Linked DNA regions of Oreochromis niloticus. The protein of the gene in region 1 interacts with the protein of each later gene in a pairwise test. Links are inferred from orthologs where the notes say so. Each region holds a gene or a part of one and is shown on either strand. Other genes may lie near its edges. The genes, in order: ankrd40 and ahcy.

Evidence for each region.
Region 2: the proteins of ankrd40 (region 1) and ahcy interact in binary tests that used the Homo sapiens proteins (3 or more experiments, as listed by UniProt). The two-hybrid records come from large-scale screens. The link is inferred for Oreochromis niloticus from reciprocal best matches to the Homo sapiens genes ANKRD40 and AHCY.

The regions. Positions count from the first base shown.
Region 1 is NC_031969.2:16,507,333-16,515,506, forward strand, and holds the start of ankrd40 (ankyrin repeat domain-containing protein 40), read left to right. Parts: upstream 1-4,681; 5' UTR 4,682-5,139; coding exon 5,140-5,273; intron 5,274-5,823; coding exon 5,824-5,972; intron 5,973-6,336; coding exon 6,337-6,978; intron 6,979-7,916; coding exon 7,917-8,098; intron 8,099-8,174. Other genes in the region: luc7l3 (luc7-like protein 3), read right to left, coding at 177-281, 1,249-1,323, 1,487-1,631, 1,727-1,766, 1,861-1,927, 2,635-2,733.
Region 2 is NC_031970.2:14,731,001-14,739,313, reverse strand, and holds the start of ahcy (adenosylhomocysteinase), read right to left. Parts: upstream 3,974-8,313; 5' UTR 3,843-3,973; coding exon 3,815-3,842; intron 879-3,814; coding exon 688-878; intron 1-687. UniProt on the Homo sapiens protein: Catalyzes the hydrolysis of S-adenosyl-L-homocysteine to form adenosine and homocysteine. Binds copper ions.

The DNA.
Region 1 (8,174 bases):
TAAGAAATACAGCTACAGTAAAAAATAACTTTTAGCTCACCAGCTAAGTTTAAACTCATTTTTTGTATTTGAAATGGAATTAAACTTATGTTTCCTGTCTAATAGTAGGTGATGTGCATGTTATGCTATCTTAAGCTGTGTTTGTAGGCTGATTAGCCCAGGGTAAACTGACTCACCGAGGGGGTGGAGCTGAGTAGTTCCCTCTCCTCCTTCAGCTGCTCCACCAGTTTCATCATTCCCTGGGCCTCCTCCACTCGGCCCTCAGAGCCCAGTTCCTCAATCTGACAAAAAGAAAAAAGCCATGTTACAATGTCACGACTTGATTTATGGAGTGCATATAAGAATTTAGGTGGTTTTATTTTAAATAGTGTGATCTGTAATACAGTCAGGAAAAAGCATCTGAAGTGTCATACAGTCTAGAGTACATGCACAAAAACAGCTGTGGTCACAACAGGTAGCTGATCCTATTTGAATGATTTCAAGTCTGAAGTCAGCTTACACTTAGATCAGTGTGAAGAGCAACACCTTTCCTTATTTTCCCAAAGGGTTCAAAATCTCCTTTCACAAATTACATTTGTTTGTTATTCAATTATTTTAAGGAGAAACTGCACAAGTGTGGGTTGCAGTGAACCTCTTGACAGGACAGCCTTTATCAGACTCCAATGTAGTCTTTTCAAATGCATGTACAGTTAGCCATGCAGTCCACATACCTTCTAAATTCACAAATTTTGGTGGAACAGTGAAGCTGCAGAGTAGCAGAGGTAGTTAAAGTAGAGGAGTTTAAATATATGTGATCAACCAGCCGAAGTAATGCAGACCGCACAAGAGAGGTGAAGACATGAGTGTGGACAGAGAGGTGTGGGTAGGAATGAGTGTCAGGGGTGATTTGTAACAGAATGATAGCAGCTACAGTGAAGGGGTAGGATTATCAGATGGTAGTCGCACCTGCTATGATGTATGAGTTAAACTCAGTTTAGAGCTCAAGGAGGCAGAGTTAAAGATATTGAAATATTCATTGGGAGAAACCAGGAAGGAAGACTTATGGATGTAAAGGAGGAGGACATGCAGAGAGTTAGCGTGACAGGGGAGGATGCTAGTAATAAGGTCAGAGGAAGGCAGGTGTTCCACTGTGGCAAGGCATTAGAAGAAGAACTTGTAGGAGACCATCAGATATCCTGATGCAAGAACCCGCGTTCAAATCTTTCAGTTTTTCCTCAAACACTACTAATTTAAAGATTTCGGGCAAACCTGCACAACCAGGTCTTCGATCTTCTCTGTTAGAACCTGGACTTTCTCCTCATTCTTTCCTGATGGACCAGGGCCCTGCAGAATGAATACATGAGTACAACTAAGTTCAATACATCCTAAGCAGAAACATACAGGTAATGTTATTTTCTTTTAGATTCATATCTTGCACTGTGGTCCGAGAAAACATGAAGATGCACAGAGGAGTTTGAGAATGATGTTCTCAAATAAAAGCACGAACCCCTGCATTCTGCTGAGCCTGGGAAAGTGCAAGCCGGGCATGCCCTCTGCGGATCCGCCGCTCCACTTCCGCCAGTAGTGACTGCAGATAGCGCAAGAAATCTCGCTCATAACCCTCCTTCATGAAGCGAGAGCTTTTCTCATACCTGGATATAACGACACAGAATTGGTTAATTATGTGTAAAATATCAAGCCAAAAAAAAAGGAAAGAAAAAGAAAAAAAGCCACAATAAGAACTTACATTTTTCGAAGATTTTCATCATGGATTTTCTCACATGGACCTGGGAACCCAAAACAATAAACATATTATTGTCAAATCTCAAGGGCTTTGTCCAGTTTATAATACATTTTGGGAATACAAAGTTCCCAACTTACCCAAGTCAGAGCGAGTGTTTGTGAATAACTCAGCAGGGCAGAAGCCACACAAATAGTACCGACAGACCTGAATAAAAGAAAACATATCAAACAGTTTTATGTAAATTGTGCCTCCATAGTAGATCACATTGGATTAAGTGACAGCATGTTAGTTAGACCAACTATAAGCAAATGAATGTGGTAGTCGTACAAATTTACCTAATCAATTTCTGCTTGAACTAAGAACACAAAAAATACCCACAACACTGCAAGTGAAACAAAAACACAACAGCATGGAAAACAGTATTTATTATTAATATTAAATATTAATGCCGAATTACATACAAAGCAGCATGTATGTAACCGTATTAAGTCTTCAGACATCGCAATGCCAGTTTATGCAATAAAGCAGAGCATAACCTTTAGAGAACGTAATGTGCAGGTCCTTTCACACATTAGCACATCGAAATCATTTGTATTAACACAGTTAAACTATTAGCCCAACTATACCCAGAAAACAAGTTGCTAAAACTGAAGTGAGCCCTATGAAACCTTTTAAGAATGACCAAATCGTGATGCTAATCTCGCTAACACGCGTGTTCAAGCACCACTGACTCAAACCGCCCGCTTTTCGCCATCGATTCTGTGCGTGAATCGAGAAATTTTAATTTGGAGGCCATACTGCTTAAACTAGCCGATACTCACCGCGCACGCCATGCACGCGTATTTTGGACACCTCACGGTTAATAGGTTTTAAAACTAGCTAAGCTAATGGTAGCTAGAATGCTAACTTACGCTCTCGTCGTCCCACCGTACGTTGGATCGCTTCTCGTCAGGGGCCAAGTTTCTATCTCGACCCATCAACTCGTCGAGTAACTGGGCGGCAGAAAGCATTTTTCTGCGGGAATGTAGCCTTAATTTAAAGTACTACAATAATATCCAGAAGGCCTAACTCACACCATCTGCTGCGCGAAGTGCTTCTAATCAAAATGGCAGACCTTGTAACAACAACGCCCGCTCGCAGTCCGAGTACAACCAGCCCAGGAGCTGCTCCCGCGGCCTCTGAACCGGAAGTACTAGTCTGACCATCGTGTCCAGGATTCAGTTCTCCGTATAGTGCTGCAAACTTTTACCATTGATCAAAAACGGACAAAATATGCAATTTCTATTTGTATTTTGATCAGAAATAGATGTTGCGGCACTGCGTATGTTTGTGCTTTGTTTTATTTTGAAAGTTTACAACGGAAGCAAGTTCAGATTAGTCTGATGAGCTTGGAAAGAAAAGCGTTTGGACTTCTTTAAGGTTCTTGAAGACAAATGCTGCATTGAATAGCCAGATTGTGGTGGTGTATGAAAAGGCTCATCAGAGGATATCACACAAGGACATTCAGAGATGAACTAATGTTATTTTCCACTGGCATTGGCTCTTTATTTGATACTGTAATATATAATGTTTACTTGTTGCTTTTACTCAGTTCCCATCGGTCACACTAAAAACTTCAAACTCAGTGAATGTTGATAACAACAAACACACGTGAAGCTTTCTGACTGCATATTTCACAGATGCAGTGCTATGGCATCATCAAAATCTATCTCAGTGATGCAGATTTTGCCAGATCCGATTACTGCCAGAAATGATTAATAAATGTATACTTTTGTGACTTCAGTGCTGACCAAATATTTATTAAAGCAAGTCCACATAGATTTCCTGTTATTGTCCCCAATGTGTTTTAGTTTTCCTCTGTCACACCAACCCTCTGCATGTCCTCTTTCAGTCCACCATCTATGAACTGTAACTTTGTCTCCTCTCCTTTCATTTAGCCATACATCATAACAGGTTTTACTACCATCTAGTAACTCATTTCAACTCCCTCTGAGTTTCTATGCACCTTTACAGCAACACTCAGAGCAAGCATTGCATCTTCTTACATCCAGTGGTGCCTCCCAAAAATGTTTTATACGGTAGTCATATGGGGGCCACTAAAACTATTGGGCTGGCAGAGCCAAAACAGAATTCACAGTTTTATTATGCTGTTGTCAAATATAATTTCAAATATCATATATTAGTTTTCTGCTAAGAAAGTTAATATCACTGAAAACTAAATAATATTCTGAAATCCTCTTGATCGGCCCTCCGCTCTTCTCAACGTACTTTTTTCACTCATTTGTGCATTTCCACCTCTAACCTTAATCACCCTAAACTGCTATGCATCTTTTCCACATTGATCTCTTACCATAACCAGTTTATACAACTCCTGTTCTCTGTTCTTAGTGTCCAGAGCCTTACATACAATCCACTATTAGCCTTTGCCACTTCTCTTTGCTGTACACCCAGCCTCCCAGTACTCTTGTCTACTTTTTCTTTGTTAACCTCTTCCTTTGAATACTTAGTTGTACTCCCTCACTTTACCACTAAGACTCCTTATCTTCGTTCCTCTCGTCTTCTTGCAATTCCCCTCGCCACTCATAAAGTCTGAAACTGTGATTCTTTAAAATTGCTGCCTTGCAGCTGTAGTATCCCTGGTGTATCTTACACCAAAGTTCAAGTTAGTGTAGTATCGTGGGTGTTTGCTCCCCTCTAGTGGCATACTGAGGAAATTCAGCTTAAAAATGTACTTCAAGTTTAAAACCAGTATTTATAACTTTATTAAAATGGATATAAAAACAAAAGTAACAGGTGTGCTTGGGACAAATAATCAACAGCTGTTTAGGTTTTTCTGGAGTAGCGATTATAAGTGTAGGGAGGTTTATTCCAGCTTGCCTGCAACACGTGTGAGTAAAAAACAGTTGAAGTACTTTGAACTTTTATCTCCCAGTTATTTCCTTATTCATGACAGCCAACGGCAGTATCACACAATTTACGTGGGGAATCGCACGGGCTACGCGATTCCTCGGAGGGGAACTAACATTTGTGCTCACTGTTGTCACATCTAAAGATGCCCCCCCGACGAGGCGGCGGTGTTTTTGGCAGTGCATTGACGGAGCTCTGACACTACTGCTTGATTGAATGAGTTTATAGCGAGTGCATGTGGTGCCACTGTAACGCGAACTAACAGCAGAAACACGCGGCGGGGACACGACTTGACGTGTGAACGCCAGAGACGGTCAACACGTAGTTGAAATAACCAAAGCGATTTGCTGCCATAAGCTAGCACCTCGTCGAGCTAGCCAGTAGGTAAGGTTAGCCTGGTAGCTAATGCTAGCGGTTACCAGTATATTTAGCTAATTAGTATTGGCAACATAATTCGCGTGGCCTTTGCGTGTCCTATGAGCGCACGTCGCTAGCCGTGTGAACCAAAAATGTCCACAAATTCGCTGGATAAAGAGCTACAGGAGCAGCTGAGAGAGGCGTCTGCCATCGGGGATATCGATGAAGTGCGGGCGTTAGTGGAGAGTGGGGTTAATGTCAACTCACAAAACGAAATCAACGGATGGTAAGTGTTTTCACCGATTTATAGTAGTATTTGTTCGGTCGCGACTGCAGCCGGCCAGGAGTTGAGTGCAGTCATTGTAGAGCAGAGCTACAGGGATTAAAAACACTGCTCAGCGTTATCCTATTACGCCAAGCAGGGCTTGTTAATCAGCCAGCGCTGCCACTTTTAGCTTTACTTTAAAACCAGCAAACAAGCAAAGTATTGAGTAAAGTGGCTGCTTCAACCACAAGCTTTTTCTCTTTGCTGTAGCCTGGTTATTGAGTTCGGAAACACAAACCCACCTTTGATTATTACATTTTCACGCATGCGCCCATCATCAGTTACTTTGCACCCATAAAGAACCAAATAGAGTCATATCGAGATTTTGGTTAAGTTTTAAAGTAATATATACATTATTTATATGTTTCCATTTTGTATGCCAGTGCCACACACTATAGTCAGCTTAATGAGAGGTGGTACCACTTGAGTGATACAGTATATTTCTGTTATTATTTTTCCTTTTCTTTTTGTACAACACTAAATTGTCTTGTTTCTCCAATAATCCCTGCAGGACGTGCTTACACTGGGCATGCAAGAGGAATCACAAGCACATAGTGTCCTACTTACTCAGTTGCGGAGCAGACAAAGACATCCTCACAGCAAAGGATGAGTTAGCGTCACAACTGACATCCAAGCCGGAGATCAAAAGACTGTTAGGAGGTAAAGTCAGCATTTCTCACTCTGCTGCTCCCTGTGTCACATCGGTGTAACTGGGCTGGTTACGGCTCAGGCCGTAGAGCGGGTTGTCCACCAGTTGTAGCATCAGTGGATCGATACCGGCTCCTCTGATCTGCATGCTGAAGCTTCCTTGGGCATCCATCAGTGTATGAATGTTAGGAAGTGCTTAGGCATAGATAAAAGTACTGCATGAATGTGTAAGTGCGATTGAGTGAGTGAAGTGTGTATCTATAATCAGTTATAACACTGGGCATTTGTGTTGACACATCTGCGGCAATCTTTGCTATTTTTTCGAGTCTGTTTCCAGGAAATAATGCCCCCTCTTTTGTGATCATTATTGCAACAGTTGAGGTGGAGGAAGTGCCTGAAGTGAAGGAGCCCGAGTTGCCAATCGTCCCCAACTACCTGTCTAACCCGCCCTTTATGTATTCCAAGATGGACAAGAAGTCAGAGGTGATTCACCTTACACAAAACGGTTCTGGAGAGCACGCTGAAGACACGCAGAGTGATTCGGCATCTCTTTCGCCAACGCACGAGCCTCCTCGGAAATCACAGAGCCTCGTCTTTGATGCCTCCGCTCCTTCCTCAAATCCCACCATCAACCACAGCCAAGCCCAGACTGGGGAGTTCATCCCTGTGAACGAGCAGAACGGTGTCTCACCCAGCACGGCTGCTTCCCACAGTCACGCTGTCGTTAACTGCACGGTGCCCATGGACCTATCAGTCGAGCCTCACCTCGTCAACCACGCCGATTACCCGCACACAGTGGTGCACAACGGCACCGTGTGTTCGCCTCCACTGGCCTCACCCAGTCCCAGCTTGGCTAGCAACGGTGGGAGCCAGGTCCAAGCCCCAGTGGCAAGCACAAACCCAACTGTGAGCAGACAGCAGTCCATCCCGCAGCAGCTGAGTTACGGCCAGGCTGGTGGTGCCATGCCAGCCTTCCAGCCTTTCTTTTTCACCAGCACCTTCCCTGTCAATGTACAAGGTGGGTTTACTGAGAATTAAAGATTAAAATAACAGGAAATGTTTATCTCAATTTCAAACACATTAAGTGGGAAGAAACAGCTCCCCTGGTTTACTCTGAAGCTTCGAGGTACAGCACCACAAGTATCAGCACATTTTTCTAATAAACATGACGTGCGGTTTACTTTTTATACATCTTGTTTGATTAATGTTTATGCAAATAGAAATATAAAACCAACAGCATGGATTATTTTCTAGAAACTGCATGCTGTAAGGATTTCTTAGCTGAGAGTAGTAACTTCCTCCTTTGCCTTGAGTTTTCCTGGCAGCTAGCAGAGCCCCATTAAATTACTGCACACTGCTAAACACCTTCTGGTGTCAGGCGTAGCAGGGGTAAGAAAGAACCAGGCTCTTTGACACTTTGTCGGTGAATGTTTTGACAGTAAAACTTTCATGTGGCATGGCAATATGGATATTTGCAGCTGAGTTACTAATAATATCACAGATATAACAACTTAAATTGTCTGCATGATGTCGTCAACCTGTCAAACCAGAAACTGGTCTTTATGACAAAATATAACCAGCATGCTTTCTTTATAAATGTGCTTTCATAAAAACTAAACAGACCCTTTCTTTTCACTTTTTAAATGATCAGTAAATGAACTGTTCAGAAAGAATATTCAGTCTCTCATAGTAGTACAAAGCATTCATAAGGTGCTGCTGTCTGAGCACAGACAGAAAAATCATATATTTGCGTTTCCACAGGTTACATGTTACCATGTGTGCTTGAGATTACCAAAACTTCTCAACCACTTTGAGCTGTAGAGAAAGTTCAAATGGTTCCTGAAAGAAAATAATTATTTTATGATTTTACAGCCAAAATGACAAGATGCACCTGGTGCCTGTGTGACACTTTGGTGGTTAATGTAAAGATGTATTGCTGTTGTTCTCGCTCTCTAGAGTTGGTACTGAAGGTGCGTATCCAGAACCCCAATGCACGGGAGAACGACTTCATTGAGGTGGAGCTGGACCGCCAGGAGCTCACCTATCGTTCCCTTCTACGAGTCTGTTGCCGTGAGTTGGATATCAGCGCCGAGCACGTGGAGAAGATCCGCAAGCTGCCCAACACCATGCTGAGAAAGGTACGGACACAAAAGCCTGCTTACTCTGTGTAGGCTGATGATGTTATTGTACAGTGTCATGTCCACACAATGGAGA
Region 2 (8,313 bases), on another chromosome or scaffold:
GATTTTCCAATCATCACATTCACCCTTTCATAATGTAACATTACATAAGAAATCAAAGTAGGTTTTTTGTGCACATAAAACATGATTTTTCCTGAAGTCAAGTTGGTAGAACCTTAAGGCTATTACCTTGTGAACAAATGTCACTCAATGCTGCCATCTACAGTTCAATACACTTACTAACAGTTTTAAATATGCAAAGGTGACTGTAAGTCAAGTCACCACCTATACAGACAGAGTAAAACCAATTTAGGGAAGAAGAAAAAAAATGGGGAGGGGAGATTGTTATTTGTTCTCTGCTAGGTCTCAGGGTGCAGGTTCTTGCAGGACAAGACCAGTTGTGGTCAGAGAGATAAAACCAACATGATAACAAGATACAACGGCCTTGAGGCACACAGAGGGGGAGAAAAGCCAGACTCCAGATGGGCTGTACCAATAAATGAATCAATTAATGTGTCCTCTACTGTAGTTGTCTTGAGGGTCTGCACAGTCTTATCGAAAAACAACAAAAAGGATTTTGACAGATCTATATGCATCAACTTTAAAGGGACCTACAGTTTGTTCTCAAAAAGACATTACTATGTCTAAATGCAGAAAGTAAGAGGGCATATGTGCCCTTGCACAATGTAGGCAAAGTTACTGGAAGCTCTCTTGATAAATAAATATTAAAAAGCAGCTTTTAAATGTCACCTCAGCTCCGAGGGCAGTGAGGGTCTCGATGAGAACGGCAGTCTGCAGGGTCATGTGGAGGCAGCCGGCGATACGGGCTCCCTTTAGAGGTTTGGACTGACCGTACATCTCCCTCATCTTCATGAGGCCAGGCATCTCGTTCTCTGCCATGTCGATGGCCTTACGTCCCCATTCAGCCAGGCTGATGTCAGCTAGAAAAGAGACAGCAGGTTGTCAAAAGGAGTACAAAGATAAAACTGATTAATGCAATAAGCTTGCTCTCTGGTCCAGCATTCTCAGGTGGATGTTTTTTTTGTCAGGTAAAGCCTCATATATGCATCAGACTTGGTCTGTTTATTCAAGTCCAAAAGTTTAAAACTTGAGTGTTTTTCTTTAAGGAAAACACCTGTTAACATAAATAAATAAAAAAACAAATGGCAGTCATAACATTCATACGTTATTTGTCTGGAGTGTTCCATTTTTCAAAAAGAACTAATTGGAGGGAATAAATGCATAAAACCACATCATCAGGATGTGGTTTTGCAAATCAGCAACTCTGTTGTGTTTTAAACTGCAGTTTTATAAGTCTCAAAAAGGCAAATCTAATATTTTTAATTGTGCTGTCCAGAATACCAGCAAAATTGTGTGCAAGTTTAGCACCCTGTGCATACCCAGTTTCATCTGCACAGATTTCTTATATGAAATTGTATAATCTTCTCTTTTCTAATCATCTTGTTGTAGGTGGAGAATTCACATGACCACAGCTGTGATATAACAGATTTGCACTTTTGGAGGTTTGTCTCTACACTCCCTTCTTTCACTTTCATAACAGCTGCTGTTGCTGCTGTTCCACAAGTTGGTCACACTGAGGAAATAAAATCATGTCATGAACGGCATGCAATAGGGAAGTGTGATTATCCTTTTCAAATTGGAATGAGCCAAGTAAGCCAGATCTTTACAGAGAGCACGTAAATCTACAAAAAGTCTGTTTGTTCTTGATCCTGTTTCTTTGTTAGCACTTCAGCCTCTTGTTGCTTTGTATGAAGTGCACTTTCAGAACAACCATGTGCCTATATTAATATCAAACCATTCCTACAAAGTGTAGAATGTGTTATGTCATGTACATGTACATTACATGTAAAATAAATATAATTTCTGCATAAATATTAGGATTCAAAAATGAATTATACTGGGGTTATTCAAAAGTGGAGCAGTTCTTACACAAAATCTGATACTTGTCTTTGCCACAGACAACAGTAAATTACATCTCTTTGGCTTTCGGAGTTTGTTTGTTTGTTTGTTTTGTTTTGTTTTAGTTGTTGCTTTTACCATTAAGAAAGCAACTAAATTTTAAAGTGTGTAAACTGTGTGAGGGACAACAACAATGATGGCCAAGTGGCATTAAAATTAAGTTGACTGATTTGTTTTCCCTACAATGCCATCTGCATATTTGAAACCTACCACTAGTTAAGACCTTATTTATACACCTAATTTTTCTTGCTTTTAGTTTTAGACATAAATTCACAGCAAAAATTCCAGATCTATAAATAAATTTTCTGACCACTGTCATAATAATTTAATAACATATGGCAGCACTACCAGCCTTGCTCTCAGAAACATGCTGCTTTGGCTTGTTACTGTAATCATAGCTGTCGACCCACTACAATAGCCTTCTGGTTAGGGCTGTGCAATAAATCACATTTTAACTTCAAATATAAACAATACATTCAGTTCGAATGCTACAACAGAAAAACAAGTTTTGCAACAATTTGTTGTTTCAACTATGAATACACCTTTTTACTTGACAATGGCTTCCCTATAAAGGTCATGAATCTATTTTTTCTGTTTAGTTATAATTAGCAGTTAAAGGAAATAAATTAAAAAGTACATTTCTTCTTTCATAAGTTTATTAAACTTACCATTTCTCCAAAGTTAATGTAAGTTTGTAAAAGAATTGTTATTTATATATAATTACTGACCACAATGACTGTGGTTATGATTTTTTTTGTAATCAAGCAGCACTTGGGAAGGCAGTGTACAATACAAAAGACAGTACTGATTAAATGTTTGTAGTTAACTACTGATTAACCATTTGTAATTGTACTTGTAGTAAATGAGTGTTATTGCATATATTAACATATCACAAATTAACAGATTCAGCTATTGTGTTAAAACTCTTGACCCTTGGATTGCATGCGGACTTCGTCTCATGCCTATCAATTAGCGGGATATTGCCTAACAGCTTCTGTTTCTAGGCAGCTGCAGAATATCATCCACGGCAGGTGTGGTTCACATTTGGTGCATTTCAATAGACCAATTGTCCATTTTCATGGCAGACATAGAAGCACAGTTCAAATTAATTAACAGCTCAGTTATAGCAAATTGTGACTGAGAACCAAGTCTAATTCGGGAACAAAACCATAAAAACAAAAAAAAACAAAAAACTGTATTCCAACAGAGAGACCTGACATCAACATTATCAAGCTTACGCAAAGGCAAACACCACGTGTAGTGCTTCCGTTACTGGTTTGCAAGTCGCATTCAGTGCAGCTTTGTCTATGCCTGTTCTTGTCACTCACACAGAAACTGGCGGTGAAGCGCAAGTCATCACGGGAGGTGTAGTTTACAAACAGCTCGAACCAAAGGTTCTTAGCGACACCGGTTCCACTGATAGACTACAACTCCCAGAGGCTTTAGGTGAGCTTTCGTTCACGGAGCAGCCCATGCCTGATGCAAGTATGGCTGTTACATGTCGATTCATTCTCAGAAATGAATCAAAGTATGCATTATTCACATACCGGGAAAAGGAAATCTAAAAGTTAACTGCTAAAATGACTAAGAAACACCGACAAATTAACTGGACAGCTTGCTAAACTGCGGTAATAACATATCACGTTTCACCACATGCTAGCAAGTTAGCGGTAATAGAGTCCAGAAAGCCCTGCAAAGTCTGGGATAAGTAAAAAATTAGTCTTAGGCATACAAAAACATTTATTTCGGTATACGGTTGGCTCTACACTAAATTCAACGCCTATGGGAACCGTTACCCAACCTGCAAACTTAACGCATTACTAGCTAACTAAAAGCGAACGTGCTTAGCTTAACTTGATATACAAGTACGGCAGAAACAATAAACATTGACACTGACCAACTTTGTAGGGAAGTTTCTCAGACATGGTTGTTTTGTGGTGTTACGTTCCGGTAAGGTTGAGAGAAGCGGGAGCCTGGCCGACGGACAGAGGCAGAGAGGGAGGGACGAAAACATGACGGCTCGGTTTTTATCGTCGAAGCCTCATCCAGGCGAGTTCACTCGACAGGGCGACTAGAACGCGCTTCTCTTTTGAACTCCGATTGGCTGCAGCAGCTCCCGCCCCACGCGTAAACGACTTGATTGGGTAACGGGTGATGTGGGACGTCCAGTCAATCATGAAATGAGGTCTTGAGGCGAGAAGTTTGAGTGTGTAAGCAAGTTCAGGCTGGACTCTGTCGGCGGTTTCCTGGTTTGTAGATAAGTGACAGTGTAAACTACTTTATTCTATTGTGTAATGCCGACTGCGAAAGTTGAATAACATTTTGCACACAGGCAGCTGCTTTACGGTTATTCCTACACATACTCCAGTGTTCTTCCTATATAGCAACTTCAATAGGGTCCTCTTGTAAGTTTTTCCTTTGTTAATAAATATGTTTTTTTAATAATATAGTTTTTGTATTAGGTCAATTTAAGGCTGCAGCTGAACTCAGTCTTCAAGAACTATGAATTTATGCTTAAGTGGGAAAGCAAAGTTGTAGGTTTTTTGGAGGCAAACATATACTATATCGTGAAAGGCCACATAAAATCACAGAGCAGGAAGCTGAGGCGCATAGTGCGCGGAGGTCACCGGCTATCTGCAGACTTAATCCCTACAGTCCTCCAAACGTCAAGTGGCCTTCAAATTGAAAAACAGTGCATGGAGAGCTTTGTGGAATGGGTCTCTATGAGTGAGCAGCTGCATCCAAGCCTTACATCACCAAGCGCAATGCAAAACCGTTGGATGCAGTGGTATAGAGCAGGCCACCACTAAGACGCGTTCTCTGTAGTGACAAATCATGCTTCTCCGTTCAGAAATCCAATGGATGAGTCTGGGTTTGGTGGTTGCCAGGAGAACTTGTCTGCTTTGTGCCAAGTCTAAAATTTGGTGGAGGGGGGATTATGATGTGTGGTTGTTTTTCAGGAGTTGGGCTCTGCCTCTTAGTTCCAGTGAAAGGAACTCATAATGCTTCAGCATTCAAAGACATTTTCATGCTCCCAACTTTGTGGAAACATGTTGAAACAAGAAGGGGTCATCCCTGTTTCAACATGACTGCACACCGATGCATAAAGCAAGGTCCATAAAGACATAAAGAGCAACTTTGGTGTGGAAGAACCTGACTGGCCTTCACAGACTCCTGACCTGATAAAACCACCTTTGGAATGAATTAGAGCTGTGAGCCACACCTTCTGATCCAACAATAGTGTCTAAATTCACAAATGTACTTTTGTAAGAATGGTCAAAAATCCCCCAAAATACACTCCTAAACCATGTGGAAAGACTTTCCAGAAGAGTTGAAACTCTTATGGCTGCAAAGAGTGGGGCGACATTGTATTAAACCCTATGGGTTAAGAATGGGATGTCAATCAAGTTCGTATGAGTGTTAAGGCAGGTAAGTGAATACTTTTGGCAGTGTAGTGTATTTATCCCACAAGTTTTTCAACTTTTTGGTTTATTCACACAATATTTTATAATATTTAATCATTTTAATTAATATTTAAAAATGTAATATGGTTAGGTAAAAGATGTGTTTTTCAAATGTTTTACTAATGAGATCAAGTGGTCAGTAGGATCATATGTATGCTTTGGTTCCTAAACTTTGACTGGCTTTCAAATCCACCGTAGTCCCGACATCTTTGTTGACATTTAAACCCCGCACGCTATGAAAATGTGTGAGATGTTTCCTTTATTCAGTTAATTACACTTTAATTTCGAAACATGTTACTTTCATTGTATCTCCTTGTTCAGGTCTACCTTTTTTTTAAACAATATTTTTATTAATTTTCATTTTCACAAACAACCCATAATTACATAATATAATATGGTGTACAGTTCACAGCAATAAAAACAAAACAAAAACAAGGAAACTGAACACAGAACACCAGCTCAGATCCATCTAAACAATACCTGGGGTCCCAGTAATAATATACAGCATGAGAACTCAAGAAAATCCTTGTAGCATGACATTAGAGACATCAGGTCCCACATATTTCAAGCAGGGTTCTCACACCATAAAGAATTGGTCTGTTTTTGAGTGTAATATACATGTAAGATATTCCAGTGGCACTAGATCAAACACTACTCTTTGCCAGCCTTTAACAGTAACAGTTGGTACTTTTTCATTAATGCATGCAATCACCGCATAGGTGAGAATACAATACAACCTACTATTATTCTTGGAGATTAAGCGCTGGCTTGGGAGGCCCAGAATGAGAGACACGGGGTCCATCTCCAATTCAAAACGCAAAATCGTCTCTATTTCAGACAACACACTAGACCAGTACCCTTGCAGTTTCAAACATGACCAAAAGCAGTGAGTTAGGGTACCAATTTCTGTCTAAGGTCTACCTTTTTACTCATAATACCTATTACTTGCCTAGATTTCTAAAGCTTTCATGATTATATAGCATTTATGTAATTATTTGTCTTTATGTCCCAAACATGATTCATATTTCCAAAAACAGTAAATTTACAAAATACACACACACAGATAGTTTAGTCTCAGTGGAACAATCTGTCAGGTCAGTGGAGCCACCCAGTGTATTACAGCCTGTAGACTGGATTACCCAGTTAAAGCAAGTTCATACAGCCACTCCCAGACAACACCAGGAGTCAAAAGTGTTAAACCACTTCAATTGCCAAATGCTGCGTGTCAGAGAAAACGGAAACTGCACGTTAAAAGTAGGGACACTAGTATAGGCTTTCAGACAGTGTCATCAAGTAGGCACTGATAGTCATGCGCTTGGTTATTAACAGGAAAAAGGCCATAGCTGTTCAATCACAGATTCTACATGGTTCACTAGAGGATACTTGCACAACCGGAGCTGGAGAAGCAGTAATGGAGGACAAACAACTGAGCCAGTCTTTGTATTGTGAGGAAAACAAATTCCAATAGTGCAGATTAGACCTGATTAAGCAGCTTTTTGCTTATGCATGCAGAGAATTTGACTGCAGTTTAAAGGTATGCTAGGTCTAGAGTGTGCTGGATTCATACTATACAATATTTGTTTATGATAAGATTTGTCAGTTTAATGTTGTGAGAGCCATACATTTTTGCTCTGACTTGGCAGTGACGTGACAGTATGCACTGGTCTCTAAGCAAGGACCTAAGCACCTTCTGTAGCTGATACTATAGTTTTGTTTTGTTCTGGTAACATTTATTGCATGTCTGCAGTCCTGTATAATTTGTTCATGTCATGATATAGGATGTCTGGGATCTCTTGGTATTTGCCTAATGTATAAAACCTTCTTTAAAGAACTATTTAGGTGAATAATTTTCTTCTGTTTTGCACTTTCTTCCTGTGATACATCCAGATATTATGGATAATTCATTTTGCATTCTGAGGCCTGTATAGCAGACGCAGACATGTATAATATAAGGTGACTAGATAACTGGCATATAAAAATACCACTTGATTTCATTAGCTTGTAACTACAGTAGATGAGTGGCTTAATAGCTCAAAGAACATGGTTGAGGTTTAATCTTCTAGCAGATAACCTTGTGAAAGGAGGCCAACAGCTGTCACCTGTATTGTGGGTTGTGTCCAGATCCAATCCGATCCGGCTATCAATGGATATCTCGTATTTTCAGTAACAATACTGCGCTATTAAATGTCTATGACACAGAATAACAGGTGCAAGCATTATAACCCTGCACTGTAAAATGTAATTCTAGATGTTTGTTATTTCAACATATTATTCTATATCAGTTTGACGATAGATGACTGAAGTTGTTGTTATAACATAGAATTACAAGTTAAAAACGTCCCAATTACACCAAAAAAAGCTAACTTGAAAACTCATGTCCAGCTAAATCAGAAACTTATGTGAACTTGACAATGTGGGTAAGTTGAGCACAGCAGGATTCAAAACTGCCTCACGTGACTCCTACCGAGGTGCATCATGGGGAATCGGCGGTTAACGACATGCTCACTTTACTTGGACGTTTTCTAATCGTCTTCTTTGGAATATGCTTTCAAGGTGAGTAACATTGGTTATAACTATAAGGAAAGAGAGCTACAAAAGTTGGAACATGTTTTGAATTTATGGCATGATGTGTGTTTTTCTCTTTTACCGAAATGTTTGCTTTAGCTAATGTAACTTTAGCCGACAAGGTCCAGCTTGTGTGTCATGACCAAACTTGACCTAATAAACTGACACATGGCCTTTTTTATGGGTTTAATGTGGTACTGACCAAATCACAAGTATTGTGCCGCTAGCTTTAAGGTTGTGCACTCAACCACTGTTGCGATATTAGCAAGCTAACTCAGCTAATTAATAAAGCTTATTTCATATTGTCTCTGTACTTGTAAATTTCTTTCAAGTTCACAGGCTGTTGTATTTTGGTGGAAGTTCATTT